4 linked regions of the Neurospora crassa OR74A genome follow. Each later gene encodes a partner of the first gene's protein in a complex. Links are inferred from orthologs where the notes say so. Each region holds a gene or a part of one and is shown on either strand. Other genes may lie near its edges.

Evidence for each region.
Region 2: NCU01474 (region 1) and NCU07560 share a complex: the UniProt entries of both Saccharomyces cerevisiae proteins name them as parts of the mitochondrial large ribosomal subunit. The link is inferred for Neurospora crassa OR74A from reciprocal best matches to the Saccharomyces cerevisiae genes YML6 and MRPL17.
Region 3: NCU01474 (region 1) and NCU02757 share a complex: the UniProt entries of both Saccharomyces cerevisiae proteins name them as parts of the mitochondrial large ribosomal subunit. The link is inferred for Neurospora crassa OR74A from reciprocal best matches to the Saccharomyces cerevisiae genes YML6 and RML2.
Region 4: NCU01474 (region 1) and NCU06749 share a complex: the UniProt entries of both Saccharomyces cerevisiae proteins name them as parts of the mitochondrial large ribosomal subunit. The link is inferred for Neurospora crassa OR74A from reciprocal best matches to the Saccharomyces cerevisiae genes YML6 and MRPL9.

What each region holds. Positions count from the first base shown.
Region 1 is NC_026505.1:4,616,856-4,624,064, forward strand, and holds NCU01474 (60S ribosomal protein L4), read right to left. Parts: upstream 4,404-7,209; 5' UTR 4,012-4,403; coding exon 3,931-4,011; intron 3,852-3,930; coding exon 2,883-3,851; 3' UTR 2,548-2,882; downstream 1-2,547. Other genes in the region: NCU01473 (mitochondrial large ribosomal subunit YmL35), read left to right, coding at 4,678-5,242, 5,326-6,110; NCU01472 (hypothetical protein), read right to left, coding at 6,638-7,209. UniProt on the Saccharomyces cerevisiae protein: Component of the mitochondrial ribosome (mitoribosome), a dedicated translation machinery responsible for the synthesis of mitochondrial genome-encoded proteins, including at least some of the essential transmembrane subunits of the mitochondrial respiratory chain.
Region 2 is NC_026503.1:4,356,546-4,364,181, reverse strand, and holds NCU07560 (50S ribosomal subunit L30), read right to left. Parts: upstream 6,157-7,636; 5' UTR 5,810-6,156; coding exon 5,773-5,809; intron 5,627-5,772; coding exon 4,854-5,626; intron 4,765-4,853; coding exon 4,468-4,764; 3' UTR 3,903-4,467; downstream 1-3,902. Other genes in the region: NCU07558 (sporulation protein RMD1), read left to right, coding at 1-34, 100-451, 515-591; NCU07559 (hypothetical protein), read left to right, coding at 1,446-1,668, 1,727-2,061, 2,363-2,402, 2,471-3,372; NCU16690 (hypothetical protein), read left to right, coding at 6,806-7,129. UniProt on the Saccharomyces cerevisiae protein: Component of the mitochondrial ribosome (mitoribosome), a dedicated translation machinery responsible for the synthesis of mitochondrial genome-encoded proteins, including at least some of the essential transmembrane subunits of the mitochondrial respiratory chain.
Region 3 is NC_026501.1:3,454,178-3,461,290, forward strand, and holds NCU02757 (mitochondrial 54S ribosomal protein RML2), read right to left. Parts: upstream 3,771-7,113; 5' UTR 3,387-3,770; coding exon 2,414-3,386; intron 2,352-2,413; coding exon 2,278-2,351; intron 2,214-2,277; coding exon 2,109-2,213; 3' UTR 1,740-2,108; downstream 1-1,739. Other genes in the region: NCU02758 (G2/mitotic-specific cyclin-B), read left to right, coding at 5,158-5,169, 5,266-6,549, 6,616-6,754, 6,811-6,923. UniProt on the Saccharomyces cerevisiae protein: Component of the mitochondrial ribosome (mitoribosome), a dedicated translation machinery responsible for the synthesis of mitochondrial genome-encoded proteins, including at least some of the essential transmembrane subunits of the mitochondrial respiratory chain.
Region 4 is NC_026502.1:2,064,955-2,071,967, forward strand, and holds NCU06749 (mitochondrial 54S ribosomal protein YmL9), read left to right. Parts: upstream 1-2,509; 5' UTR 2,510-2,852; coding exon 2,853-4,007; 3' UTR 4,008-4,217; downstream 4,218-7,013. Other genes in the region: NCU06751 (DUF1000 domain-containing protein), read left to right, coding at 92-351, 504-915; NCU06750 (coiled-coil domain-containing protein 25), read right to left, coding at 1,171-1,571, 1,650-1,753, 1,896-1,935, 2,083-2,155; NCU06748 (hypothetical protein), read right to left, coding at 4,402-4,883, 5,022-5,184; NCU06747 (hypothetical protein), read left to right, coding at 6,606-6,896, 6,960-7,013. UniProt on the Saccharomyces cerevisiae protein: Component of the mitochondrial ribosome (mitoribosome), a dedicated translation machinery responsible for the synthesis of mitochondrial genome-encoded proteins, including at least some of the essential transmembrane subunits of the mitochondrial respiratory chain.

The sequences.
Region 1 (7,209 bases):
GGTGATGGTGTCACGCTCCGACGCTGAAGCGGATGTGACGCGATCCTTCTAATCGGCCGACGAAGCCCGATGATGACGAGACAGCGGTGTCAAGAGGGAGTCAGAAAGCGGGCGCTCGTCGAAGGGGGAAGAGTGTTTTCGCCGTGTCGAGTCGCAAGCGTAAACCGGCGACTGTCGCAGAAGCTTGCGCTCTCCGCCCGCGTGCAACTCCCCCAACTGCAGTTTCCAACTCGATCAATCCAGATGGCGGTCGACAGATAGCCCGGGGGGGAAAAAATCGAAAAGCAAAGTCGAAAACGAGTCGACTCGAATGGCGTCTCGGTGATCGCAGGCCTCGTGGCGGCGCTCGGCGATGCTGGGTCGGTTGGGCGACAGGTTTGATTGTCGGTCGGTGGTGGTGGGTTTTGGTTGTTCGGTTGATGATGGCTGGAGTGAACAAGACAGGGCAGGGCGCTCGCTCACCTTGGACTTGGAGGCGAGCGGGAATGGAAGGCAGAGTTGGACGGCCCTGGCCTTTCAGCCAAAGACGGGACGGACTGCAGGGCCATTCGCCAGCCAGCAGCGCGACGCACCTCCACAGGTTTTCAGCGGAGCACTGTGTCGCGCGCCCAGCCTATCATACAGTTTTACAGTAACCATCCGTAGCTTTACACGGCCAGTTGCCGAACCTGACCAATCTTACGGCTTGTCTAGACAGCTGAGTGGAGTAAAAACTCTTTAACAGTACACCACCTACCTACACTACGCAAGTAAGTTTGTAGCGGAAACCCGGCGTCGAGTCTTCATGCCCACCACGGGCCCCCCGACAGTGACAGTCGACTTCAACGTATGGTGAGACGGCGACGGACCTTCCAGCCTTCACACTTCCAGGTTCTAGTCTTGGCATAGTCCGGAAATCGTCGCGCCGGCCAATCGGCATTCCCACTTCCCGTCCTTTTCTCGATTCTCCCACCCATATGACATTGTATGTATCTCCGCTGCTGAGGCTTACGGCTCGGCGGACAGCTCAACTCTGCAAGACATGCTGACCTCGTGTGCCTCTTTACAACCATGCCATGATTTTGGATCTTGCGATCTGGGTTGGGTGTTGGAGAGGTATCGCGGAAAGGTCTAGGAGAGGTCTCTTGTATCCAGCAGCCATACAACATCCCTTGGCAAATGATTCGTCCCTCTGAATGCCAGGGGAATATGTTTTGCATTGAAACGAAAGAGCCCTGAGACCAGCAAAATTACCCATACTACCTTTGATTACAGTATGCGCAGACAAGGAACGATTAACGACAGGATTGGACAACAATGGTGCGCCGGTTTAGACCCTGAACTACGTGAAGAAATGTCCGAATTGTCTTGATGCTATATCGTGTACGGTAGCCTGGTGGTGCCAGGGTCTGGGTGGGGAGCGAGAACCGGACCGGACTTCGCTTGTCGCATCATCGATGTTGATGGGCAAGATACGGCAGTGGGAAGAAGCCAACCGAAGCCTTGTCTACGGTTACAAGATCGACCTTTGTTTTCTGGTGAGCGGGTGAGGCAAGCGAGCTGAGAGGGATCTCTCAGCTGGATACCCGAACGCAAGATATTTATGCATGCTTCTCGTAAAGTTGATACAAGGCCGATTCTATAAGTACTGCGAACCTCAACGCTGCGCAATCTCTGGCAACCGATTGCGATATCACGACAATTTGCAACTGGCGGCTGAAGTCCAAAAAACACATGGACAAATCAGCGTTCCGGACACCCCTCGTCGCTTTCATTCCGATCCAAAGAATAAAACCAGGCTTGCGAAGTGACTTCTTGGTCTCAGATGACCACATGCAGATGACCGCCAAGCCCAGACAATTCAAACCATCGAATTTAACAACACCGCATCACGATCCCCAGACAGACCCCGCGCTGTCGACACAAGTCGTATGAAGACACGGGCCCTCCAGATCTTTACGGAACCCAAGCAGCAAGTTCGCGATCCCAAAGCCCGAAACAAATAGGGCCATGCATTCGTCCGTGGTTTCCTTCCTCACCACGGCCCCTCGACAAGGAACCGTAGGCATTGAAAGATGAAGAAAAAAATGAAGAAATCTCCAGTCCGAGAAAGGATTGTGGGTTGCCAAAAATTCCCCAGCCAGCCGAAGCCAACTGAGAGCGGTCAGGTATGTAGTTTTCAACTAGCAAAAACGCGATCTCGGACGAATCCTCACTGATACGCGTAAAACCCCTGCACTTGGATGGAGGAAAAAAAAAAGGAGAAGGAAAGTTGAAGATTGGGGGAAGGGTTGGCTTGGTTAAATAGGCGCGGGGAGGTCCCGAGCCTTGGTCCGTGCACCAGTGCAAATTCCGGGAGGAATTCCATGGCGGGCCGGCAGCGGGCTGAGGCGGGACTGCCAAGCTGTTCAGGCAGTCGGCTGTTGGCTGTTGGCTGCAACTTCCATCTCGTCCTCTTTCCATCTTCAGTTGTTCACTTCACTGCAGTTCCTGTTGGCAAAGGGGTCATACCGGCAAGGCTGCCCAGGCATTGCCAGCAGTAGTGAGTGGTGAATGAAACACTGCAACTTCACTCCAAGAAATGACATTTTAGTTGCGCATAACTGTGTCACAGTCACAGACTACTATACCGTTCTACTTAACCCCTTGGCTTTTACACAGTTCTCGCTTATTATCACAATGCAGAGAGGGAACAAGGCAAGCCAATTGCTTCCGAATAACAAGGGAAACTCGTGTAGGTACACCGTACAAAGGAACATGAATATTACACTCATCGTGCTGGACAAACCGTCTTCTTCAGTCCGCCCTCCTTGCGCGATTCATATGGTACAAGAGTGTTGCCGGTGGTTGCACACACACATTCACTTCTGCTGCTGCTGCTTCTTCTCCATCTTCTTCCCTGTCTAGTATCTCGGCGCCCTGACGAGCACCTCACCCAGATTGGGACCCTTTTGGCGGAGCCCTTGGACTGCTACACGGGTGACGAGGTCGCTTTGGTGGTCCTCGATCATCTCCTTGAGCGCGCTGCGCTCAATCACTATCCTGCCCGTCTCCAAAAGATCCTTGACATCGACATCCCACAACTCCAAAGCGCGACCCTCGGCACCGGCCAACTCGAATCCAGTGAAGAGGTTGGGGCGCTTGTCGCCCGTGATAAAGGTCGTCCGGCCAGCCTCCTTGCCCCAGTTCAAGCTGGTCATGAACTCGTGAACCCACTTGCGGACGTAGCCGTCCTCAAGCTCACGGCTGAGCTTACCGCCGCCGGCAAGCCAGAGGAAATCGTTGGGAAGGGGGAGGTCGAGGCCGTCCTCGGTGACGATGAGCTCGCCGCGCTTGTAGCGGTAGGACAGCGCGGTGCGCCAGGCCAAATCGTAGACCTTCTTGTTAAGCTTCGTGCTGAAGTCGCGGGGCTTGGGGCCGAAGGTCTTTCCACCACCTTTCATCAGAGGTGACTGGCGGGTACCACGACGGGCGTTACCGGTACCCTTCTGGGGACTCATCTTCTTGTGCGAACCATGAACTTCGTAGCGTGTCTTTGTAGACGCCATGCCCCGTCGTGTCGAGTCACCTTCGTAGATGACGGCCAAGTGGAGGATATCGCGACGCAGCGGGAGGTGAAGGTGACGGGCTGAGTAGGATTCGAGGGAGCGCGGCTCGAGTTCGGGGAAGGAATAGACGGTCACAGGAACGTTGGTGACTGAATCGTGGGTTAGTACCTTTCCAGCGCGGGCGATGTTGTCGAGGTTGGCAGTCGTGTTGGTGCTCATACTGGGTTGCCATGGTTCCGAGACCGATCTTGTGATATTGGCGGCAGGAGGGGTGGCTACGGAGGCCATCGACCGTCTGCAGGGAAGAATAGAGGATTGGCGCATCTAGTGGACATGGTTTGTACTGGTGAGCGAAAGTCGTAGGCGGGTCAGTAGCAAGACGGTGGACATATGGAGGACAAACCGGCAGTGCCCTGCATGACTTGGAAGCAATGCTCAGCGCATTCATGGCCTCGTTGAGGCTCTTGAGACCCTTGCCGGCCATGGCGGCGTTGTGATATGGCAAGGTGACGGGAGTTACAAGTTAATGCAACTCGGATGTAGTGGAGGTCAGGTATGATATGGTGGTGCTCGAGGCAGTTGTTCGCGGGAGGAAAAGAGAGACTAGCAACCACGGGCCTGTGCGGACGGAAACGTGGAGCGCGCTTCGGGGCGAGGGAGGGACAACGGAACGGGACCGAGACGGGGGCTCTGACGGGATATGCGGTGGTCGTCGCGGGCGCCGGTCCTCCCAGTCAAGTCGCAACGATTCGGCCGACGAGGGGACTGGACGGAGTCTGGAGAAAAAAGATCTGGAGTGCGGGCAACGTGCACGTACAGTGCGCTGCAGCCATCGAGTACCCGTTTCTGGCGAGCTTTCTCGCGGGGCACGCCCGCTACTCTGCAACCCCCACTATAAGTACTTCCAATGAGCGCACTGTGCTGCCGGCCCCGGGGTCCACGAAATTTTGGCCGCAGTTCGAGTCCGGGCAGGTGGGCTGCAGCATGGAACGAATTGAAGGACCAACGAACCCTCCGTCCCGTCCCTGTCCCGTCCTTGACCCCGTCCTCCCCGTCGACGAAACCTTGAGTGCAGCTCCTCTCGATTGAGAGCGATCCCGCACTTCCAATACTCTCCCCTCCGGCCCGCCTGCACACATTCCCACCCGCCATGTCGACGTGTCAGCAGGTCGCGCGGCCACTCGTCCGCTGTCTCCGGCAAACCGGCCCCGGCGCTGCGACATGTTCGACCCGGTCCGTCGCCGTTGCCGCCGTTAGGCCCTTCTCCTCGACCCCGATGCGCAAAGAGGAGGGCGCCACCACCACCACCACCACCTCTCCTGTCGACTCCACCACAACACCACCACCCCTTCCTTCGGCAACCGAGGCTAAGGCGACAGTAGCAGACACAGTAGTCGGAGGTCCAGAGCTTGGGTCGCGAAGGAGAAGGGCCGCCCTGGCCACCACCGGCAACCTCCCCTTCGAGCAGCTGCCGTACCAGTGTTTCCAGGATGCGCGCAAGATCCTGCAGCAGGACCGCGCGGCCAAAATCGCCCAGATTGTCAAGGAGACGGAGAAGATCAAGCTGATCGAGGCGCGGGATGCCAGCGAGTTCGAGGGCGGCGAGGCCGCCAAGCAGACACGGATCAAGAGCTTGAGGAAGTATATTGAGGAGCTCAAGATTCTGGCCGACATCAACGACCCCGAAGTGAAGAGGCGTTTCGAGGATGGCAGAGGTTTGTATTTTCCTTTCCTTTTCTTATGACGTTTACTCCGCTTCGCAAGTCTCAGTCTAACGAACACGTTTCTCTGCCTCCAGGTGACATGACCAAGCCCGTCTACCGTTTCATGGCCGAGCGCCGCTGGCGTTCCATGGACTACAAAATCATTGCGCAGCGTATCTCGCAGTTCCACGTCGTTCCCGACCTTCTGCCCGCCTTCGACCCGACCATGGACGTCAAGCTTTCCTTCCGTGGCTACCAGGTTTCCCCGGGAGCCATCCTCGACTCGCGCGTGACCGAGGTTGCACCCACACTTCGCATGCAAGTCTTCGACAAGGGCGAGCGCCTCCTCACTGTCGTCGTCATCGACTCGGACGTTCCCGACGTCACGCACGACAACTTCAAGCGTCGCTGCCACTTCCTGGCGGCCAACATCCCATGGGACCCGTCGAAGACGGTTCTCTCCCTGCGCAGCGTCGGCGACCGCGTCGAGGGCGACGTCGGCAAGCCCTGGCTTCCCCCCTTCGCGCAAAAGGGTTCGCCCTACCACCGCCTCAACGTCTTCGTGCTTGAGCAAAAGCCCGGTGCCAAGATCGACGGCGAGGCCCTGAAAAAGCATTTGGAGAACCGCGAGAATTTCTCGCTCAAGGGCTTCCGCGAAAAATTCGACCTCGAGCCTGTCGGCTTCAACCTGTTCCGCTCCGAGTGGGACGAGGGCACGGCCGAGGTCATGGAGAGGCACGGCATTCCCGGCGCTGAGGTTGAATTCAAGCGCCAGAAGTTTGCTTCGCTCAAGCCGCCCCGCAAGGCCAGGGGTTGGGAAGCCAAGAGGCAGAAGCCCAAGTACAAGAGCTTGTGGAAGTACGTCAAGCGCATTGCGTAAAAAGCGGGCGTCTGGGTTGGGGTGTAGTAGGTGCATGTGCGAGCGTTGTGGTCAGCAGTATCGTCCTCTTGTTAAAGCTGTTGTTGTAGAGAGCGGCAGTCGTCACGTTACGACGGTGGCGACGACGACTTGTGGCGTGGCAGTGGGACGGACTTTGCCGGTAGCTGAAGCTGTCCTGTCTTGTACAATAGTTATATCAGACACGAGTAGATTAAAAGGGCGTGGAAAACGCCTAATCAATGTACAAATACAAGCCATGAACCTTGATGCCGGCGGGCAAGTAAAGAATCATGTCATCCAATTGATGCTGTCTATAATCCTATAGAGCAGCTAAACATTTGTCTATTTGAACGAAAACATGTATCGTCGTCTGATACACTCATCCTAAGGTATTCTTGACTTTCCTACTATTGCCCCCCCCCCCCTCTTCACCAGCCGTCCGAAAGGGGAAATCAGTAAACAATACAGCCAGAAACTAGCTCCTAACAGCGTGTCCCCGCAATAAACTCATCGTTTCTCAACATTGTTTACTCGATTCGCATCTCCGCATGCTCCATTATATCCACAAATCGATGTTTGTCACACTCTCGCTCCTCTTCCTCTTCCTCTTCCTCTTCCTCTTCCTCTTCCTCTTCCTCTTCCTCCCCATTCTTATCATCATCCGCCATCCGCTTACCCATCAGTGCCATCCCTTCCGACTTCGCTTCGCCCTCTGCCAACCCCTCCTCGCAATACTGGCATGTCTTCCATCCGAGAAGATTGATGTTTGCGCACCGGGCCAGCCTTTTTCCCAGTTCTGTTCTTGTATCGTCTCGCTCATGAGCATCCTCCTCTTCGACCCATTCATAATCATAATGCACATCACTTCCCACTATCGCAGATAATTGATCTTCAACCTTTTCATCCGTCTCTTGATGATGTCTACGACTTTCATGCCCAAATGATACGTCTAAACCTTGCTCCGCATCATCGCTTTCGCCTTCCCCTACAAAATTCTTCTGCTGAATATTCGCCTCTTTCTCCTGCGACACGCACTGGTTGTCCCTGTTCCGTTTTGGTTCATCACTGGACGGTCCATGGTCTTCTTCTTCTCCGTCAC
Region 2 (7,636 bases), on another chromosome or scaffold:
GGCCATTTCCCACGCTCTCGCCCAGAGTGTGAAGGTTGGTTTCTCACCTTACTATACTTTGTGCCTGACGTAAGACTGCTGGCTAACCCTATCACATAGACGTCTCTTTTTGAAGAACTCATTGCCTCAACCATCGAGACATGCAAGGACATCCCCACGCAGATTGCATTGACGGGCAAGATCGACCTCAGCCGGCAACAGATCAATATGCAAATTGGAGAGCTCTTCATATTGCGTGTCAACATTCACCTAAACGGCTCCGTCCTCGATACACCGGAGCTGTTCTGGGTCGAGCCACAACTCGAACCATTGTACAAGGCCGTGCGCAGTTACCTCGAGATGGACCAGCGTGTCAAGTTGCTGACAGAGCGTATGGATGTCATTGCCGATCTGTTGGCTGTTCTCAAGGACCAGCTAACTCACGGTCACGGAGAGAAACTAGAGTGGATCGGTAAGCGGCCATGCACACATACACCCTCAACAACATCCTGGGATCATGCTAACTACTTTATAGTGATTGTCCTTATTGCTGCCGAGATTCTCGTGGCGGCCGTAAACATTGTTGTCGATTTGTATGCGGGCGTTGACTAGAAGAAGACAGCAACTCGGGATACAGTGCCAACAGAGGGGTGGTCCCTGCGTAACTCACTTCTTTTCCTTTTAATTATTTTCTGCATGGAATTGGGCATCTTTCTGAGCACTGGAGGAGTTCTGGGCCTAAAGGCGATGAGCTGTGACGTTGTTTTTGTCTGGTTGGATTCTTTGGTGGATAGCATTTAGAAGGGATGGCGCTTCGTAGGGCCAGTGATGAACAAGAAAGGCAGAGAGAGAGAGCCTTGATATGCCAGAGAAAATAGGTCAAAGAGCGCCAACGATATTCTCGTTCTGGCTTGACGACCCGTGATAGACGATATACCAGTAAGACTTCATTTCATTATCTTAACCAGACGTGATACTCTGCCCGTTTTTCTATCTTTCCCCGGTACTTCGATTGGCCGGGTGACATTCCCTACTCTTCCTTCATCTGATGTTCCGGCAGATACATCATGATACATCATGAAACATACTATGGGACGGTCAAGGCACCAAACAGGCAGGACTGGGCAGGTGTCCGTCGGTGACGTTCCCGTCGCAAACGAAGAAGGAACTGCAGCACACGGAAGTGACAGGCACAGCTTCCAGTTCGCGAGGAAGGTACGACGAAGGCAAGCCGATAGCGGAAGTCGCGTCTACCGCGATGCCTGGGCAGTGAGGACACTTGGGATTTTCCTCACGGGGGTTTCATTACCTTTTCACCCCACCTCGGCGTTCGAACATTGTTTTCCTACCATCATCCTTCCTCCAGGGTCGTTAGGCATTCAACTTCGCAAGATCTGCTCGCATCAGGCTCAAAACTTATGTTGATGGACATCTAGATCGCGGCTTCGATCCTGATCTCTGTCAAAATGGAGGTCGACAACGTCAACTTCTGGGGCCATCTACCCACTATCCTTGACGCGATTGCCGATGCCGAGTTCATTTCGCTTTCTGTAATCGGTTATCCCGATGCTGTCGTCAAAGCTAACCTGACCAAGGAGGAGCTCTACCGCGAATTGGTAAATCACTCCAAGATTTACCACATCACCAAGATTGGCCTTACTTGCCTCCAATACGACGAGAAGCAAAAGGGTACGTACGATGGCAATCTCTTAGCCTGGGTGTTCACCGAGGTAACTGACATTCCGAGTCTCAGCATACTCTGCGCGCAGCTTCAACTTTGCCATCACCCCTTGGTTCCTTTCTGCAAATATCCAGGCGGAACTCATCGCAAAGACCGTCAATCGAACGTTTTCCTTTTCATACGACACCCTTCAACAGTTGGCGACAAACGGCTGGGGTTTTAACGAAGCTTGGGAACGGGGTGTTCCTTACTTGGCCCGCTGGGAGGCGCAAACAGTCGAGGAGCGTTTCCTCCAGCCTTGGGAGACCAAGAAGCCATTGGACATCAACAAACTAGATGCCGAGTCCCAGAAATTTCGGGCATGGGCCAATGAGCAGATCACATCTTGGCTGAAAGAAGAGGTACGATGACTCCTTCTGATTTTGTCTGTCGACTTGCTGGTCATCAAGCTCATGCCCGCTTTCCTTTACAGGACAAAACTCTTGACTTAGCAACCCCCTCAGGCGAACGGCTTACTAGCCTTCAAGTTGGACTCATCTGCCAACTTGTCTACTCCTGCTTTGATGACTGTCGCGCAACTCTTAGAGATGACAATCGAATCATGCAGATCACGAAGCTCAGTCGCACAGAGCTCACCATTGAGGTCAGGGAAACAGCCACAATTCAATAGTTTAGGACTGTTTTACTGATCGATGCTCACAGAGATTGACGAACCGCCGCATTGCACTGGCGCGACAGTCAGGTAAGCGACTCCAATAGCACTTCATGACACCCAGGCCTTTCTGGTTCCACTAACGTTTGTTCTTGCAGGATTTCTCTACGTGGTGGAGGCCCTCCTCGGGGGACAATTTGCCAACGACATCGAGCCCGAACTATGCTTGGCATACGTATCGGTGGTGGATCGTGACTTGCGAAATCAACTTATTTCGGCTTTCCGCGACAGACTTAGAGCAGCTGAGGATAGAAACAGGCTCAGACGACCTATCCTGCTCATACACTCTCAGCTCGACATGCTGTGTCACTTTTACTCGACATTTTTGGGCCCCCTTCCAGAGACATTCGACGGATTCACAAAAGAAATACACAACATTTTCCCTCGGATCGTGGATAACAGGATTCTGTATCCCCTCAACAACTATCCATCTCCCTCGTTCCACGGGCACAAGCCTTCAATTGAGTTCATCTCTGCCGCAGAGGAAGAGGGAGGACCCGGGGTCACACCAGTACGAGGATTCGAATACCAGAACAAGATGGCTGAAGAACACGGTCTTTACGGCTGGTATTCCAACCTCGCATTCCTCAAGGTTGCAGCTAAGAAGCTGCAGAAGGAGCAGTGGCTGAGCAAGACTCGGCCCGAGAAGACGTGCGGGAGCATGAGAATGAAGACGGTAAAACCAAGCAAGCTTTTCTTCACGCTCAATCCCTTTGCGCCCAACAGCATTATCAGTCGTCGGTCAAGTATTTGTTCTTCTGTCGCTTCTGGTATGACTGGAAGCATGGTTGACACCCCGCCCAGTGTTTTCGGTGACGGCAGTGATGAGGAGGAGGAGGAGGAGGAAGAGAAGCAGGAGGCACCTGAGGTTCATCGTCTCCCCCCGTGGGAGGCAGTTTTCTGGGAAAAGTTTGGAAACAAATTGGTCCTTGACCACGGTGAAGTTTTGGCGCTCACCACTTCGATTCCGCTCAGAAAGTCCCGGATTCGGAATCTCTAGGATGATCATCGGGACCTCCTGTATGAGCTCCTTTTTGTGTGGGCTTTGGGCACGATTTGTGTGTTATTCAGATTGCTTTTCAGATGGGTGGAGATTTGAGACTTGACTTGTGTGTGGTGTGGTAATGCCAACAAGTAATTTGTTAATGATGTACGAGGAATGGAGGAGTACACCACTGGTACGCGCGCGAGAAGTGTCCCAGCTAGAGGTGTAAGCCAACGGCCTTATATGGATGATCAAGGAGGATGTCCTGATGGAGGCGTAGGAGACGTGTGAAGATATCCTACAGGCCGCCGTGGTGTGGACTTTCAACCAGCTCAAAAGTACCGTTGCTTTGGTCTGCGGCTGGCACAAGCTTTGACTGTGTGTCTCAAGCCGGGAGAACCGGTGTTCATCATTGATCAAGGCTGGATCTTGAAGAGGTCACTGCCATACCTATCCACGTCTCTAATGCAGAATCGGGTCACAGATATGTGATTAGCTCAGTCTGTCTTGTTTGTGTATGTTAGTATCAGACTTCACCTCAGATAGCGGTATGACCAACCCAGCGGATGTCTGGTAGTATTCACCAACCATCTCGCATCCTGTATGACATCTTCATCCCAAATCTCTATACACAGCATATGTTTTTACATTACAAACAACACCCTCTCTCGTCCCTGTGCTTCATGTCAGCCTTCGCCCGCTTCTTGCAGACATGGCATGCGAGCTTGGCTTCGGCCTGGTCAAGTACGCTGAGGCGTGCGAGGCCTTTGAACTGTCAAGTCAAGTTCCAAACCATCTCTGATTCTCTTCCTCGAGACCTTTGATTGTGTTCGGCTAGGGGGCGGTCCAGGTCTACTCAGCGCATAAACAACAATTGTACCTTGCCACCGACCGACTAAAACCATCTTTTGATATCAATACATTTGTACACATGCTTCTCTCTTCTTCTTCTTCCGCCACCCACTGCACTTCCCCATTCTATTTCCCCGGAAGATAATGGTGTAGTCTCACCGACTTCGACCATCGACTCATCATCACCTCTCCAACCTTGTTCTTCCATACTTCACTTCACCAGACCAGGCTACATAGGGTGTTGTTGTGTTGTGTTGTTCACCTCTCAGCAAACATGCCCTTGACGCTGTGGAAGTACTCCTCCGCCAACGTGCTGCGCAGCTCCTCCTGCGTGAGCCACTTGAAGTCGACCAGATCATGCAGGTTGTCGGTCAGGTCGGCCTGGCCGGCCATGATGCGGCCCTTGAGGAAGAAGATCTTCTCGCCCTTCTTGAGCAGGGCGCCGTCCTTCTGGCCGAAGACGGGGCGGACGACGTGGTGGGCTACGGGCACGCGGCCGACGATCCACGTGTTCATGTTGACGCCTGCGGACTCGGCGAGGATGCGGGCTGCGGTCTGTTTATCGTCATCATCAAAGGTTAGTTGGCCGCGAGTTTTGGAAAATGGTTGGAAGTTGGGTTGGGGAAAAAGGGAATATAACGAACCTCATGCAACCCCTCATCCGTAGGCACCACGCCCGTAGGGAACATCCACTTGGCCTCCTCGCCTTCCTTGTCCGCCTTCTTTTTGACTACCAGATAAAGCGTCTTGTCCAGCGCGCGATCCAACCGCTTGACATCCCCTTTCTCATCCGCCTCCGTCCGTCTCGGCATCGGCTTCTCGACGGGGACCCGGTCCTCGGCGGGGATCTCCTCGCCATCCTCCGACACGCGCATCTCCGCGTCGGCAAGCAATTTCTCCACCATGTGCTTTCTCGACGACGTCTGCGACCCCACCAGCACCTCGTCGTTCCACGCCATCCGGCCGCGCGGGTTGTACCGACCAATGTCCTTGGCGGGCACGCCGTGGCGCTCCTTCAGCTTGATGCGCCAGTCCAGGTCGGCGGCCGTGTCCTTCTTGAAGTAAAAGTCCTTGCGGAAGGGGGCCGTCAGCCGCTCGTTGAGGCGCTTCTGGTAAAAGTAAAAGGATTCTTCAAAGGGGGTGAGGTCGCGCGTCAGCAGCGGGGGGCGGGTCAGGATCACGCCCGACTTGATGCGGTAGATTTGCGACGAGGTCGAGGTGGCGGCGTGGGTGCCTGTTGATGTGGTGACGGGCGGGTGAGGAGGGGGTAGTGTTGTTGTGGTCGTGGCAGTGGCAGTGGCAGTGGCAGTGGCAGAGGCCTCGGCGGAGTAGAAACGTCTAGGTGCGCTGGTGACGCCGGCGGGCGCAAGTACTCGGGTTTGGTTGCGGCATTGTAGGCAGATGGACCGTTGTTGGCCTGGAAGGAAGAGAAAGAACAGATTGCGACGGGTTAGTTATGGTGTCTTTAAGCTTAAAGTTTGCGATCGGAAGCCATGCATGGAAAACACCAATTCGTAACGAGTTGACGATACGAAAAGAAGATAAAGAAAAAGTGGTCCATACTCCTAAGGAGAGCAGCTCCCCTACTCGACGCCGACATGATGGGCAGTATATATGACTTGGTTGTTGAACGGGGCCCGGGTGTGTAGACAACGGGACACGGGACGGGGAGAGGGAGGGAGGACGGGTGAATCTTGCGCGCGCGCCAATCCTCAACGCAACTCTCTCTCTCTCTCTCGCAAGTCTCGGGGTGGATGCGGGACGGGGTCGGTCGGTCGGTCGCTGCGGCGGGCGGGCGGGCGGGCAGGCAGGCAGGGCAGAGCGGACGGACGGGCGACACACAGCGCGGGAAACCGGCCGTGAACTTTTTCGATGTCCGCAGCCCCACTCTTTCCCTGGGGCCCTCCCGCCTGCCGCGCTGCCGCCGCGCACCGATCAGTCAGGTCCCCTCCCTGCTCGTTTCGTTCCTGGTCGCGATTGAACAATTGAGTCTTGGCAACCGATTTACTTTCCTTCACCGCCTTCCCTTTTCGAAAGCTTCCCTTTTTCTTCTCCAAAACCAATCCCCCCCGCTACCTACCCCACCATAACTTTCACGTCCTCAGTTAGGTTCACGGCTCCTACGACCCCACATGACCACTCACCTGACCGAAGCGGGTCCAGCAAACTTTTGAACTGAACTGCTGCAATAAAACTGCCACCAATCCCCCCTCCCCTTCTCTTCTTCCTTCTTCTTCTTCTTTTTTTTCTTTCTTCAAGGCACCATTCCTTATCATCACGACGTTTCTCTTCCTCCAAAACTGTCCTGATCATTTAGTCCGTGCCGAGAGGAACCACCATGAGCAGACGAATTCGCTAGCGGTACCTGCCTATAAACGCTCTACCGGGTTGCTGTTAGATAGAATCTGCTTACATATTTTTCTCCTGCGAACTCTCGTGACGGTTTTGCATTGTATGTATGTAATAATACTGCAGACTGTCTTGTGTGTGTGTGTGTGTGTTTGCTCTTTCTGAGAAATGAGCTTGGCCCAGTCAGTCTGGTCAGTCAGTCTCCTTCTCCATGGCATGTACACTACGTGTGAGGAGACTTCGCTAGATGAAAGTCAAGATGGGGCTGGTTTCTTTGAAAGTGTTATTCTTGCCACTTCGTGAAATGCTTCCCCGTCTCGAATTTCTCAAGCCTCGTTTTTGTGGCACGCGTCTTGTCTGGCTGCTTGGTGTCCTGTCGATTCATTCCTTGACTTTGGATATGAACCTTCCTGAGATCATTCATGGATCGTTCTCCATCCCCGACACTTGCTTGTCGTCACTCCGGTCAATGTCGCGATCAAGCACGGCCACATCTACTGAAGTCTCAGCTACGCCGCAATGCACATACTGCCCAGCTCAGAATATTCATTTCCACCATCCATGTCGCTGATCACGATATACATATGCGTGCTTCATCTCATAGAATTATCAGACCTGCCTCCTTGCTAGCGTTCGGACAAGCTTTCCAAATCTTTACTAGGCTACGTATCAGAATGGATGGACAAGTTAGTGGAATATCAAAAAAAGATGAACAAGAATAGAATGAGCAGTCATCACGTTATCAACCGACTTGTTCAGCACACCTTGCGCAATGCCGGAAACAGTGGACTACACTACATAGTCCAAGTTCCTTAACGATGACCAAAATGCAACAAAAAAAAAAAAAAAAAAGTCATGTCTGTTCATTGAAAAGATCCTAATGTATAAAAACTACCGCACGCCAGTTGTCCGCCAGGATATTTACCCAGATTCACCCCAGCCGGCCCTGATACCATACACCATCTAACATATACATCACATGAGTGATCAGAAAGTACTTCTCCTTTCTATCATGCCCAATACATAAGCGTCATCCTGATCAACGATGACTGAGCAAAGCTTCCGTGCCAGCAACCGC
Region 3 (7,113 bases), on another chromosome or scaffold:
GCGTTTGCCAGCCGGAAAGAGTAGCGTGGGTAGGTAATAGGAGGATGTTTCAATAGGCGCAAGCCGCAGCTGAATGTAAGGGTGAAGCGACAAGAGGTGTGACCAGGCTAATACAAACCTATGGGCTGCAGTGGTTGGGAACCGAGATGATATTTTGGGGAAACTAAGTACTAGTACCTAGCCTACAACCTAGCCGGACTAGCACAAAGATGTCGTGACGGGAGTACGCAGTATGTACGTGAAGCCGGAGACCTGGCGCGTGCATGTAATGAGTGTGCAGAGCACGGCAGAGGTTGAACAGTTCATTCTTGTATCGAACCTGTCGGTCTGACAGAAAATGAGTTTCACCCAGCGATCAGCGTCCACGATTTCCTACCCAAGACGTCTAAGCCTCTTTCTAAGACCGCACGTGTAACGCTAACATAGATTCCCCATGCCTGTTTCTGCACTAGGTACACTACATACATTTTTGCTTGGTCCCCGCAGTCCGCACTCCTCCCATCTGCTTGAAGTCAGTTGACAGGTCGACAATAAGTACTCCCAGCGGCGATGCAGTGAGTCCCGTAACGGCGGCTCAGAAAGAATGAGAACAGTTATAACCAAGTTTAAATGAAGCGAAGAGAAGAAAACCAATGTGAAAACGAGATTATCGAGGGTGAACGAGTTATTCGGTCAAGAGCGGATGGGAAACAAGAGAATGGCAGCTTCCTCGGTGGCATGCCGGTTGAGGTTACAACCGAAACCAACGATCTTGTAACAACCTGGAAATCTAGATCATTCAGGGGGGTGGTTTAGGCAGTGGCCCCTAGCCAAGTGGAACCCCAGTCCCGCGTACCTCTAACGCTACCCGACATGGATGAGGTATGTATGGGGGCAACCATAGGTACCTACCTACTCCCCAGCTTTTCCATGTTAGTGCATCTTAACTCATTTAGTGTAGGGTGAGAAGCACCGCAGAGAAGTACGATGTACCCTAGGTACCTAGGTATATATTTATTGTGCCGACCTGTCGGGGTCGTGAGGTACCAGACATGGTGGCGCACTCAGTTTTCCTTACTAGTTAATGTACAACTACCGATTCCATCGATCCCATTCAATCTCCAGAAGTACAAAGGGGACTGCCCTGAACGAGCGAAACGTTGTGAAATAGTATGTACACTAAAAGAATGGCGTAAACCTTAAACTCTGCCCAAACCACCGAAGAGACGCTTCAAATAGTGTACTCATCACCCCCGTTGATCTTGTGGTATACCTCTATGGAGATGAGACTATGCTTGCCTTTTGTCGACCCTCGTTCCTTCATGGCGTTGTATGTATGGCCGAATTGCGGGCGCATACCGAGACGCTGTCGTGATATGCCCTTACACAGTCAACCACTGTAAAGATACCACCGCTGGAATGCATATAAATCTCGCTGCGCTCAGGTCTACCCACGCGGCTATTTACGCCCCTATTTTTTTTTTTTTTTCAGGATGGCGTTCACAGAACCGGTAGCAGATCTGAAAGGGCGAAGGGGGACGGCATTGTTATTCTGCTCCTTGCAGAAGAGATGAACGCAAAATGTGATTGGACAACTCGACCGACTCCAATGACCAAACGCCTTCAGTTTCTTTCATTGTAGTCTGTTGTCTATAATCAACGCAAAAAAAAAAAAAAAAAAAAAAAAAAAAAAAAAAAAAAAAAAAAAAAAAAGGGAAAAAAAAATTTTTTAATTTTTTTAGGAAAATTAAACAAATTTTATAAGTAAATAAATCAATAAAAAATTTGTTAAGTTGGGGTCGGTATATGACAACGGAGTCTAACAAACCCCATGTGTAGTCTTTGGTACATTCCTGAAGTCGTATGCCGATTTATAGGCACAGTCACGGCCTTGGCCGGGCCCTGAACCACATCGCCGTAGAGTTGCTCAGTTGAAAGTGGAAAACAAAGACAAACACGGCAGATCTCCAACAGACGATGTTATTGGGCCCAATACCCACACATGGCATCCTTCCGGTGATATACTGAGCCCTCGAACTGCCGGCCTGCGAGCAAATGAATAAGTTTCACTACATATTGTACAAGATGGTGGGTATATAGCCCAAGTTGAGCACAGTGGGTTATTTTATTCATGTAGTCTTCTTGTTCCTCCGGACTCCCATGTTGCGGACCCGGGGGGTAACCACCCACTTGTTGACGTTGGACTTTCTGCGAGTCTTGTAACCACCTTTGGCCTACAGAAAAAGAGGGTAAGGCGTCTGTTCAGAGGAAGGAAGGAAATAAAGGGGCATGACTTACAGGTGTACCCCAAGGAGAAACAGGGTGCCTATTACCCTTCGACTTACCACGACCACCACCGTGAGGATGGTCATCTACCAGGCCGTTAGTTGGTTTTGCTCGCTTGACAAACGGATTGTTCTGGGAGTCTACTCACTTGCGTTCATCGCCAAACCTCTCACAGTAGGCCTAATGTTGAGCCAACGGCTTCTACCGGCCTTGCCCAGTTGTCTGTAGTGATGCATAATGTTGCTGGCAATACCAACGGTGGCGCAAGCGTCCTTGCTGACCCTTCTGATTTCTCCGCTCTGCAGTCTTACGTTGACGAACTTGCCCGTCATAACCTTTGTACCATCCTCACGGGTCTCCTCCTCTTTGGAAATAATGGTTGCATATGTTCCGGCACTGCGGCAGAAAACAGCCTTGCCATCCGGACGGGAGCCAACGCAATAGATCTGGGTTCCAACCGGAATCATGGACACAGGCAAGCAGTTGCCTCTCCAGCATGTCCTCGCAGCCAGAATACCAGGATCAACGACACCACCCATAGAATCGAGCAGGTCCTGGGGAAGACCGGACCGGTAGCTCTGCACAACGTCTCCAGCCCTCATACCATCCGCCGCAACAATATAGCTCTTCCTCCCTGTGGCCTCTTCCTTCACCAGCGCAATGTGCGCGCTGCGACCGGGATCGTACTCAATGCGCAGGACTGTGTGCGGACCGGGGATCCATCGTTCAAAGTCGACCATGCGGATTCTTCGCTTGTGACCACCACCGCGATGTCTGACGGTGACGCGACCACTGTGATTACGGCCACCCTTAGATTGACCCTTCTTGGGAAAGGTAAGAGGAAGATACGGCCGGCCCTTCCACAGGTGGTCGTTGATCGGGCGCTTCAAGTGACGGATACCGGGCGTGTGCGGCTTGTAGGTTCTCATCATGCCGGCGTCCCGGACGTAGGGAGTGACGATCTTGGCTTTGGCATCTTTGCTGGTGTTGCTGGTGCTGGTGCTGCTTGCTGATTGTGTGGCGGCCTTGGTGGCATAGCATCTGGCGACGGTGCGGCCCAGCACGGTTTGGGCAAAGGAAGCTGTCCCCGCAAGGAGGGGTCGGAATTGAGGCTGCAGCATGGCTGCTCGATCGCTGTCGGATATCCCAAGCTCCTGGCGGTGAGCTCTGGGGAGGTGAGGGTGCTGGAGGGGACAGTTGCTGCGATTTCCAGCAACCGGAATGCGACGTCCTCGCAGGCTGCTCGTCGAGGTTCTCGTCGCCGGCTTGTCGTCGATAACTGCTTGTGGAAAATTGCTCGGCTGATGCGCCAATCACAGCCGTGCATTGGTTTGCGATCCCTGACGATTGTGGCTGCTAATAGTGTGGCTTGTGTGGTGCAGCCACTGCCCTTTGGTGAAGAGCCTTGTTTCTTTCCAGGGGACAAGTGCTGCAAACAGCGCTCCAAAACGCGGGCGCGGGAGGAAGGCACCAAGTCATCACCGCGTGAAGGTGCAGTGCGGCGCGGGGAAAGAGCGTGCATCGTGCTCCATTCCTGCCCGCCCAAGGTTCCAGTCGCGTCTGACCCAGGATAGGTAAGGTACCTTAGTGTTGACAGCTGCTGGACACGCGCAGCCTGTTGGACAGTTTAAACCAATCAGAAGCTGATTTGACCGAATTGCCCTGCGGTTGCCAGTGTTGCCCTGACGGCGGGCGGATGACAGCAAGGGAGGGACGTGGCCTGTGGTGGCCTTGCCGCCTTCAGTTCCTTCACTGCGTGTTTGAGGTGCGACCCTTCTTTGTCCCTTCTGCTTGCAGTGCTCCATAACAGCGCCCGGCCCAAGTACAATTTCCTGGCCGCTTTCTCGACTCCGGATTCTGCAACTCGACACTCACCATCCGACTAACAACCATTTCCCTGGACGCACGACAATCGACTTTCAGCTACAGCAACAACAGCAACTTTCGACTCCGGCCATTGAAGCCTGCATTTCTTCGGCAGTACAACCTTTTCGACTTGCTTATTCGACAACGGCATCCTCATCATTCGACAACTTAGCAAGGCAGGGAACAGCAAGACGTGCGTCTGACAGAAGCCCATATTGCACGGCGCGTCATCACTTGTTGTGGTAATTTTGTTCCCTTTCCGGTGTCTTGGACTTCAAAGCTTCAAAGCCTCGCTGCACTAGTGACCTCGAAGGGCACTAGAGGTACTTTGCCCCAGTCCCAGCACGTCCGATCCGGTACCTGGGTGGGTGTCCACACGCCCGCTCCGTCCACTGGCACTCCAGCCCCATCCACTGGGCTGCACTGGCACTGGCACCTCCACCAAGACCTCGCAAAAACAAGACTCCCATTCTTCTCTGCCTCGTAAACATCATACCTCCCTTTCCCGTCCGCCAACTAGCATTCCCACTCCGCATCACCTGGACTCGCAAGGCCTTGCCATCACGACGGCAACCCTTGGCCTCGATCAGTCAATCTTTCCGGACGTCGCCATTGCGTGCTTTGCCCCGACCGTCGTCACCAATTGGGCAACATTCCCGATCAACAACAGCACATCCTTCACGGTCTCAGCCAACCTTCTGTTGCGGGACCCAGGGTTGATCTCCGGCTTCAACAACGTGCCGACAGCGACATCACTGCCGACCGCCGGTGTTCATTCTTCCCGACATCTTTGGGCTCTGTAGTCGGTGCGTCTAGTCTCATTGACTGTCCGTGTTCACAATTCCCTCGTCGTTCGCTCGTCGTTCGCGTCAACCCTCCCTCCGTGACAGGGATCGGTCTTTCAATAAGAACCAGTCTCTCCACCTCGAACTTCGCCAAAAACGAAACATCCAAATAGCTAGCTGACCTCCCCGTCAGTAGACACATTTCACATCAATTTCTGTGCCAGCATAGGTTTAGGCGAGAATGCCGAATCTTGTAAGTTTTACTGCACAGTTGGCATTGTCGTTCAATCATGCAATTGGTTGTCCACAGCCATGCTATGTTTGTACTAACTCAACCCCAACCCTGCAGCGGACGAGGAACCCGCGTTCACTCGCGAACGAAAATGACGAGAACAGTACAGCAACCACGACACGTATGACGAGGGCCAAGGCGGCCACTCTCCATGTCGACGAATTGTCCATGCCCGCGAAAACCATGCAGACCAAAAAGACGACGATTTCGACAACCACCGCCGCCACTGCCGCTCGCACTGTCGGTAAGCGGAATGCACTGGGCGACGTCAGCAATGTCACCAAGGTTGAAGTTGCGGGAACGAAGAAAGCGATTGCGAAGCCCGGCCTAGTTTCGAAGGCGGCCCAGCCGAGTGGCATCCAGAAGAAGACCACAACTGCTACGAGCCGTACTGCGACTACTGCCCGCCGTGCGTTATCCAACAAAGAGCCCAACAAGACGGTCGGCCCCAGTGCTGGTGCTGGCACCATTCCCGCCAAGCGCAAGCCTCCTCCGTCCACATCCAAGCTCGCCCCTATCAAGGAATCAGCACCTGTTGAAAATGAACCGGCCCGCAAGAAGATCCACGTCGAAGAGCCCGAGAAGAAGAAGGTTTCCAGGACTGAGGCCAAGGAGAACGATGCTCCCTCCAAGGCTGTGAAGCCGATGGCCGAGCCCCCCGCTCCCGTCGTCCGCGATGTCGTCCCTGTTCAGTCAGTGTATCCGCCAGGTGTTAAGGACCTTGACACTGAAGACCTCGAGGATCCTCTTATGGTTGCCGAGTATGCGACGGAAATTTTCGAGTACCTCCGCGACCTCGAGTGCAAATCAGTGCCGAACCCTCAGTACATGAGCCACCAGGACGACCTCGAGTGGAAGACTCGTGGCATTCTCATCGACTGGCTCATTGAAGTTCATACTCGGTTTCATCTGCTGCCCGAGACGCTGTTCCTTGCCGTTAACATCATCGATCGTTTTTTGAGCGAAAAGGTCGTCCAGCTCGATCGTCTTCAGCTCGTGGGTATCACTGCAATGTTTGTTGCCTCCAAGTACGAGGAGGTCCTCTCCCCCCATATTGCCAACTTTCGCCACGTTGCAGATGACGGCTTTACTGAAGCTGAGATCCTCAGTGCTGAGCGTTTCATTCTATCGACCCTCAACTACGACCTTAGCTACCCCAACCCTATGAACTTTCTCCGCCGCATCTCCAAGGCAGACAACTACGATATTCAATCCCGTACCCTTGGCAAGTACCTGATGGAGATCAGCTTGCTGGACCATCGCTTCATGCCTTACCGTCCCAGCCATGTCGCTGCTGCTGCTATGTACTTGGCACGATTGATCCTTGGCCGCGGAGAATGGGTAAGTTATACAGATGGATTTATAATACTCGCCATATCATCCTGTGGCTAATACTCATAATAACAGGACAAGACTATCGCCTACTATGCTGGCTATACCGAGGAGGAGATCGAGCCTGTATTCCATCTCATGGTTGACTATCTGGCCCGTCCCGTTATTCATGAAGCATTCTTCAAGAAGTATGGCAGCAAGAAGTTCCTCAAAGGTATGTCAAACAACCGGCCTTGCTTGTCTCGTAATCTTATTCTGACATCTTCTCAGCCTCCATCCTTACTCGGCAGTGGGCCAAGAAGAACGCTGTTCTCTATGGCGTTGTTGACGCCGAGATCCCACTTGACAAGCTCAAGGACCGCCCCGTTGACCAGCTGCCTTAAGCTTGTTTGGGTGCAGCTGCGTTCACGGGCTAGCATTTGGGTTCTGGCCCATACAATGTTCTCAAAAGAGGCTACGATGCGGTTGGATCTCGCTAGCGCTTGACGACATATCATGAAGTTATAGATGACGGTATGCCTTTTGTCTCTGAACCCAATGGAGACCGCGTTCGTCCAATTTTCCTATTCTCTC
Region 4 (7,013 bases), on another chromosome or scaffold:
TCAACAACCACCCCGTCGTCAATATCAATCATCAAAACCTTGACAACACGAGGCACAGAAATCTTATATTCCAACACCTCAACTCAGGACAATGTCGCACCACTGCCACGACGAGCACGACGACCACCACCACCATCATGAGGGCGGGGCAGAGCACGACCACTCTGACGACATCACCCCCGCCGTGCAGTTCTCGCTGTACCAGCACATCAACTTTGACGAGATCACCACGCTGAACGAGCAGGTGCACGGCTCCGGCCAGGCCATTATCAAGAAGACGTGGGCCGAACGATTGGCGACGGAGCCCGAGGTGGTGAGCGATGCTGATGAGCAGCTGATTATCAACGTTCCGTATGTCACACTACTACTTTATCACACTTGATCACTCAAGTCATTCACATCATCACGAAATTTCAATGTCACTCCTCTCCCGTAACATACACATCATACAATGACCCCATCATACACACCCAATCACTAACACACCGACCCTTCCCGAATAGTTTCACAGCCCAAATCAAACTGCACTCGGTCCTCCTGCGCACCTCGCCCTCCCCCTCGGCCCCGCGCACCCTCCGCCTCCTCGCCAACGCCGACATCCACGATTTCGGTCAAGCTGAGGACTCTACCCCCACACAAGAATTCGAGCTCTCCCAGACTTCGGAAATCCAGGAATTGCCCGTCAAGCGAGCCAAGTTCAACGCCGTGCAAAGACTGTGCTTGTTTTTCCCGGATAATTTTTCGCAAGGAGAGGAGGATGAAACGAGAATCAGTTATATTGGTTTCAAGGGGGAGTGGATGACGTTGGGACAAGCGCCGAAGAATATCGTCTACGAGGCGGCGGCTAGGCCGACGGATCATAAGGTTAAGGGAACGGCGGATGCAAGAGGTGTGGGATATAACCGTCAGGGGTAGTAGAGAGGACCTTTTGAGGGGAGTGAGGAATGAGTGACGGGTAGAAAGAGGTTCGAGAGTGGATAAAGGAGCTACCTCTAGTGATGGGTCAAACCGGGTTTAGTTCTTAGTCTGCTGCTTTAAAGGCGGCAGCATACCAGATAGGAATCAAGGTTGGGAAGGTTCTGACGATGGCTTTCGGGCATCAAAGGATTTTCAGGTCTTATGTAGCTTGGAAAACTTCAGTAGGTTTGTTTCTTTTGTTCTCAAGCAAATTTACATGAAATCATCCTCCCAGGTCTCATCCCGATCCTGATTGCTCGAGTTCATCATGTTCTCCTCAGCAAAGAGCTCATCGTAGGCATGATCCTTCTGCCACTTCTTCTCGGCCCGCTCCTTCTTCAGGCGATCCTCCTCCTTCTTCCGCGCCAGCACCGCCGCCTGATCCTTCTTGCGCAGCTCTTTGAGATGCTGCTCCTTCTCCTCTCGCAGGTCCGGGTGCTTCTCAACCTTGGTCTTGTTCAGACGGTTGACGATAGCATTTTCGCGCTGCGCGATCAAAATGCGCTTCACCTTCTTCTGATCCTTGAAGCTGACCTGGCCGACCGCCATGCTGCCGTCCTTCTTGAGATTGGCCCATGGGGTATAGATGATTGTGATGTTGTCCTTCTTGTTACCTTTACAAAAGCACAGAGTTAGTCCTCACGAATTCCCCCATGACTTCCTGACAGTAGAATTCAAAAGCAGCAACTTACCCTCGATGGAGTTGGCCTTGGTCAACTGACCAAGGTCGGTCAGGAGCTCCTCGGGAATGTTCTCCCATGTCCAACCCTCTGGGAGACGGAGGTAGATATGAGCACTGGAAAGTTTGTCGACATGGAACTAAGTAGGGCCTAGTAATGAGAAACAGAGCATAATATGACGAGAACCTCATGGGGAGTCATACCCTACGAAGAATAGTTAGAAAATGCCGAACTAGGCTTGGCCGGGGTGAAACTTACCATACATCCTCCTCCCAGCCGTGTTGGATCAACTCCTCGTCTATAAAATAGCATGTTAGATGAGTGACGAGCTGACATCTATATCCAAGTCAAATATGCAATGTCCATGAGTGTGTCAAGATATATGCATATTCCACAAGGAGATGCAGAATACCACCAATTGTGGCTGATGATCATCTTCACGTACTCTCAAACTTGTCTTTCCCCACATAAATGAAAGCCGGGGGACTGACGACGGTCGAAGTGAAATAGAAGACCATGGTTGCTGATGCCTTTGGAAGAAATGAAAGATGGGAATATTGGGTATCTCAAAACGGCGACAATGAAAAAGACACTTCGTGCAAGAAGGGAAACCAAGATGCAAAAACGCGATTTCTTCTCTGGGGCTGTGTGGTGGTGGTTCGAGTGAAGATGTTTTAGCGGTTGAGTTTGGGGGATCCAATGCGGTAAAATGCGCCCGCACTCCAGCGGAAGTAAAACTACCTAAGTGAATAGAAAGAAGCAATTAACCCTAACCCTTCTTGTAGAGATGTCACACTCTGTACACCACAATCCGCCAAATACATAGTACCCGCCTGTGAATAGCCGCCCCTCCCCTGTCAATTGTGAATCCCCGGATGCCGAACCGATCGACGTTATCGGGGGGGGAGCATCCCGTTACTGAATTTCTGAGTGGCTATCAAATTTCTGCTGCTCCGTGCTTCGAGCCGGCGACCACCACTCCCGCACCCGCCCCAAAACCACCTCAACGGCCGCGCGCCGAAACGACCTCCCAACTCCGCCCCCTCCGGTTCGCGTCTCGAAGACAGCCGGTGTCCTTTCCATTCCCCCCACTCGACGCTCCGGGGCCCCGACATCGATACAACGAACACCGTCAGGTCCAATTGACTGCGACCAACCCCACCAAAAGCAACACAACACCACCCAACCCTCCCCTCAGACTTATACACATACACGATGGCGCCCCGGCTGCCCGCGCGCTGCTGGAGGCAGCTCTCCCTCGTCGAGAGGTCAGCCACCCACACCACAACCACCGCCGCCGCCAGCTCCCTCCTCCTCGCCGGCCGGACCACACCCACCTTCTCCGCCTCCTCGCCATCGACTGTCTTTCCCTCCCTCCTCCCTCAGATCACAAAGCGCGGCGTCAAGTACGGCTGGAGCACGCTCCCGAAGCGCAGCAGGCCCACACGATTCAACCAAGTGACGCAGGGTCTTCCGGCGCCCACCTCGGGCCCGGCCGCTGCCCTCAAGCGCCGCGAGAAGACTACACCCCTGCGCACCGGCGTGCTCGCTGTCAAGAAGGGCATGACCGTCTTCATGGGCCGCACCGGCGCCCGCATCCCCTGCACCGTTCTGCAGCTCGACCGGGTCCAAGTCGTCGCCAACAAGACGCGCGCCAAGAACGGCTACTGGGCCGTCCAGGTTGGCCTGGGCGAGCGCCGCGCCGAAAACGTGGGCGCCCCGCAGCTCGGCTACTACGAGGCCAAGGGCATCCCGCCCAAGCAGACGCTCGCCGAGTTCAAGGTGCGCAACCAGGACGGCTTGTTGCCGGTCGGCGTCCAGCTGTTTCCGGACTGGTTCCACGTCGGCCAGGTGGTGGACGTGCGCGGCATCACGCGCGGTATGGGTTTTGCCGGTGGTATGAAGCGTCACGGCTTCGCCGGTCAGGAGGCGTCGCACGGTAACTCGCTGAACCACCGTACCATTGGTTCCGTCGGTGGTTCGCAGGGCTCCGGTTCGCGTGTGTTGCCCGGCAAGAAGATGCCCGGTCGCATGGGCGCGCAGCAGCACACGGTCCAGAACCTGCCCATTCTGATGGTGGACAACGAGCTCGGCATCGTGGTGGTCAAGGGCGCGGTCGCTGGTCACAAGGGTGCGGTTGTCAAGGTTCAGGATGCTGTCAAGAAGGCTCCTCCCCCGGAGGAGTTTGTCGAGGCCACCAAGCAGCTCCTCAACGAGCGGTTCCCTGATGCGGAGGAGAAGTTGCAGGCGGCGAGGAAGTTGCACTTGGAGCTCAAGGAGGCGAGGAGACAGGGCCTGATAGATTCGCTCATCAAGAATGGGCTGACAGAGAAGGCGGATGGAAATGCTGCGGTAGAAGCTTCGGCTTAAGAGAGGGGGGCTGTCTCTGGTCTGTAGTATGTGTTTGTACTAGGTTTATGGAAGGGAATGTATGGTAAAGCCTTCCCGGTTTCTCATTTTTTTTAGTTCTCTCTTGTATGATACACACGCATCGTGGGGTGTTAAAATGTACAGCTACCGAAAATGTATAACAACTTGAACATACAACCCTTGCCCGTGATAGGTTCGTATGTTCTCTCCCTATATCTTACACATATTCCTCCTTGACAGCCTTCGGGTATTCAATCAGAGAGCCAGACCACGATCCTGTCCTTCAGCTCATCCTGTTTGAGAGGGGGAGAGGGGGACCACCACCTTCCCCGGTTCCCATATATATCCTCCCTTTTTTCAAAACTATTCCCTCCTTAAGAGCACCCCAAAACAATTACTTGGGCATCTGCCTGAAACCCCTGACCTTCGCATCCTCTGCATCATCATCCAGCTCAGGTTCCATCGCACGGCCGTTGATAGCTCTGAACGGATCGCCCTCCTCCAGCAGGTCAATGACCTTGCCGTCCTCCGTCTCCAGACTCCACTCGGTCGTCTCGAACATGCCTCGGGGCGTGGGCCGGAAGCTGGCGAAGCGCATCACGCCCGTGCGCTTGGTGCCCTTGACATTGAACTTGATGTCGATGCGGCCGTGCAGCTGGTTCATCTCGCCCGAGATCCACGGAATCTGCGCCTTGAAGTAGATCTCGTCACCCAGGTACTCGCGCGCGCGCTGGTTCGTGCGCAGCGCATAGAGGGTTGACTCGACCACGGGGGAAGAGAGTTTCTGGTAGTTGAAGATTGCGATCGAGGTGGCGGCTACGATGCCCAAGAAGATGGGGAAGGTGCGGGACCAGCGGAAGCGGGAGGTTTGGACATCTGTTTTTGTGGTTGCAAAGGGAAGAGGGGTCAGTAACTTCCATGGTACTAAGGAACTCAATTGGGGTGCGGAAACAGCAGGAAATACAGAACACAGAGAAGAGAAGAAGAAGAAGAAGAGACACGGGGAGAACATACCAGGAAGTTCACGATCAGCTCGCCTCTCCATCAACGGACCATCGCCAGGCCTGGGTGCCGATGTGAGAGATCTCCTCTGGGGTTGAGCGCGGCCCTTGGCGCAAGGGGAAGGCCTCGCCAGCGCCCTCTTTAGCGCCATACGTTGTGTTATCCTAGAGAGCATTGTGTGTGTTTATGTGTGTGTGAATGATATGTGTACTTTCGTGTGAAGGTTATTTTTCAGACGAACGATGGGGAGGGACGGGACGGGAGGATGTGTTGACACAAGCTTCTGGAGTTCGTCCCGTACACTAAAGCTACCCGACCTACCTACCAAATGGAAGCTGCCCTGGCGACGATTCCTACGATAACTCGTTTATCGATAGGCAGTGGGGCGGCACTACGTCGACCACCCCACTACGATTTGATCAGTGCATAGCCTTTGGGCAATATTCTTGTAGCAGCAAGTACCCAGCTGTCGGGGTGGCTGGTGAGGGTTAGGAGTTGACGAGAGAATCTCGGGGTTGTGTTAAATGCTTCCTCCAAACAGCCCTTGTCGGCACCGCGATATTTGGGGGCTTTTTATGTTCTTTTTTTTTTCTCGATGAGACTATCCCGTTCTGTTCAGAAGTTGCAAATGCATCATTTCTTTGTCCTTCGTTGTCCCAGGTTCAAGAAGAAGAAGAAAACAGGATAAACTCCTGTTGAGTTGCCGGTTAGCTTGCCAATCCATGAACTGTGGTTCTGTTGCTGTATCGTTCAGCATTTCTCTGCTTATATGCCTAATGACGATGGCCGAGAGGCAAGTTTCCTATTTTGGCTCTTACCTTCAAAGCGTGGCGCTACTATTCCACCGGGCTGAGAAGTATGGTCTCTTCCTGTCCGCCTATGATGCAGTTGGCTTCAACGCCATATGCCGTGAGACACGGTCAATTTCTATCCTCCAGTGGGGACTGGACTCTTTTTACTCTCAAGGTTGCGACCGGCCTCGAATAACTCCCAACAAAGAATAGTATTCGTCGGTACAGGACGTCACAATATCCCATATCTGACAAGGCAAGCTCTGTTGTGTATAGCCACAAAACGGGTTACAACCTTGCGAAGCGAGCCGAGCCTCGTGCTGGATGCTTTGCTTCCACGGATCAGCGCGTGGCAGTTCCATGCTGCAGACTAGGCATCTCTCATATGGAAGGGTTCTCGTGGCGTTGGCTGGGCATACGCAGTGATATCCCTCCTTTGGAACAAAGAAGAGAAGTACGTACCCGGTCGAGCCAATCTCACTGCACATCATGAAGAGGCAGTGTCAGTTTTGTGTGCTTACGTGTGGACAAGCTGACAACCACCACATTTGGAAATGGGACCCAATCCGCGTCCCCAAAGACGGCTGAGAGAAGGCCTTTCGCCCAACGAGAGAAAAGACACACCGGCACGACCGCAGTCGGTCCGCTCTCATATAAGACGGCTGGCGCTGTTGTCAATATCTGGGGTAACTTGGACAGGCCCCAACCACATTGCACTTTGCCATATCAAGACCCCAACTGTTCTTGTCCTTCTTCACACTGTTAAGCTCTTCTATTCCCTCAGCCCTAGTGGGATTCGTTCACAATGGCTTCAAGCAGGCTCATGAAAGCCATCTATGTGGCTTTGTTTTTGCTTTACGTTGACGCAGCCATCTCATTATCCCTTGTCTCGTCAATGGTGGCATTTCTTCATGGACGCGGCGGCCAACCATTCGAGGTCCGACGACTTGGTTCGGTCTTCGACCTTCCCGGAGAACCTGCACATCTTTTGACGGACCACGGCCACACGACAAATGCAGCAGGAGGTACGGGCGTCGTCCTTGTAGGGTTCGGTGGCCTCCTAGCTTTGTGGTTGGAGCATAGGTCCAGGGCAAAGGTATGTGTTCATTCTCGTAGAATCATTGTGCAGTGTGCGTCTATGGTACTAACCTTGTGGCAGTACGGGAAAACATCGCCATTCTACTATCTCTGGGCCCTTATCACGATTCTCAGC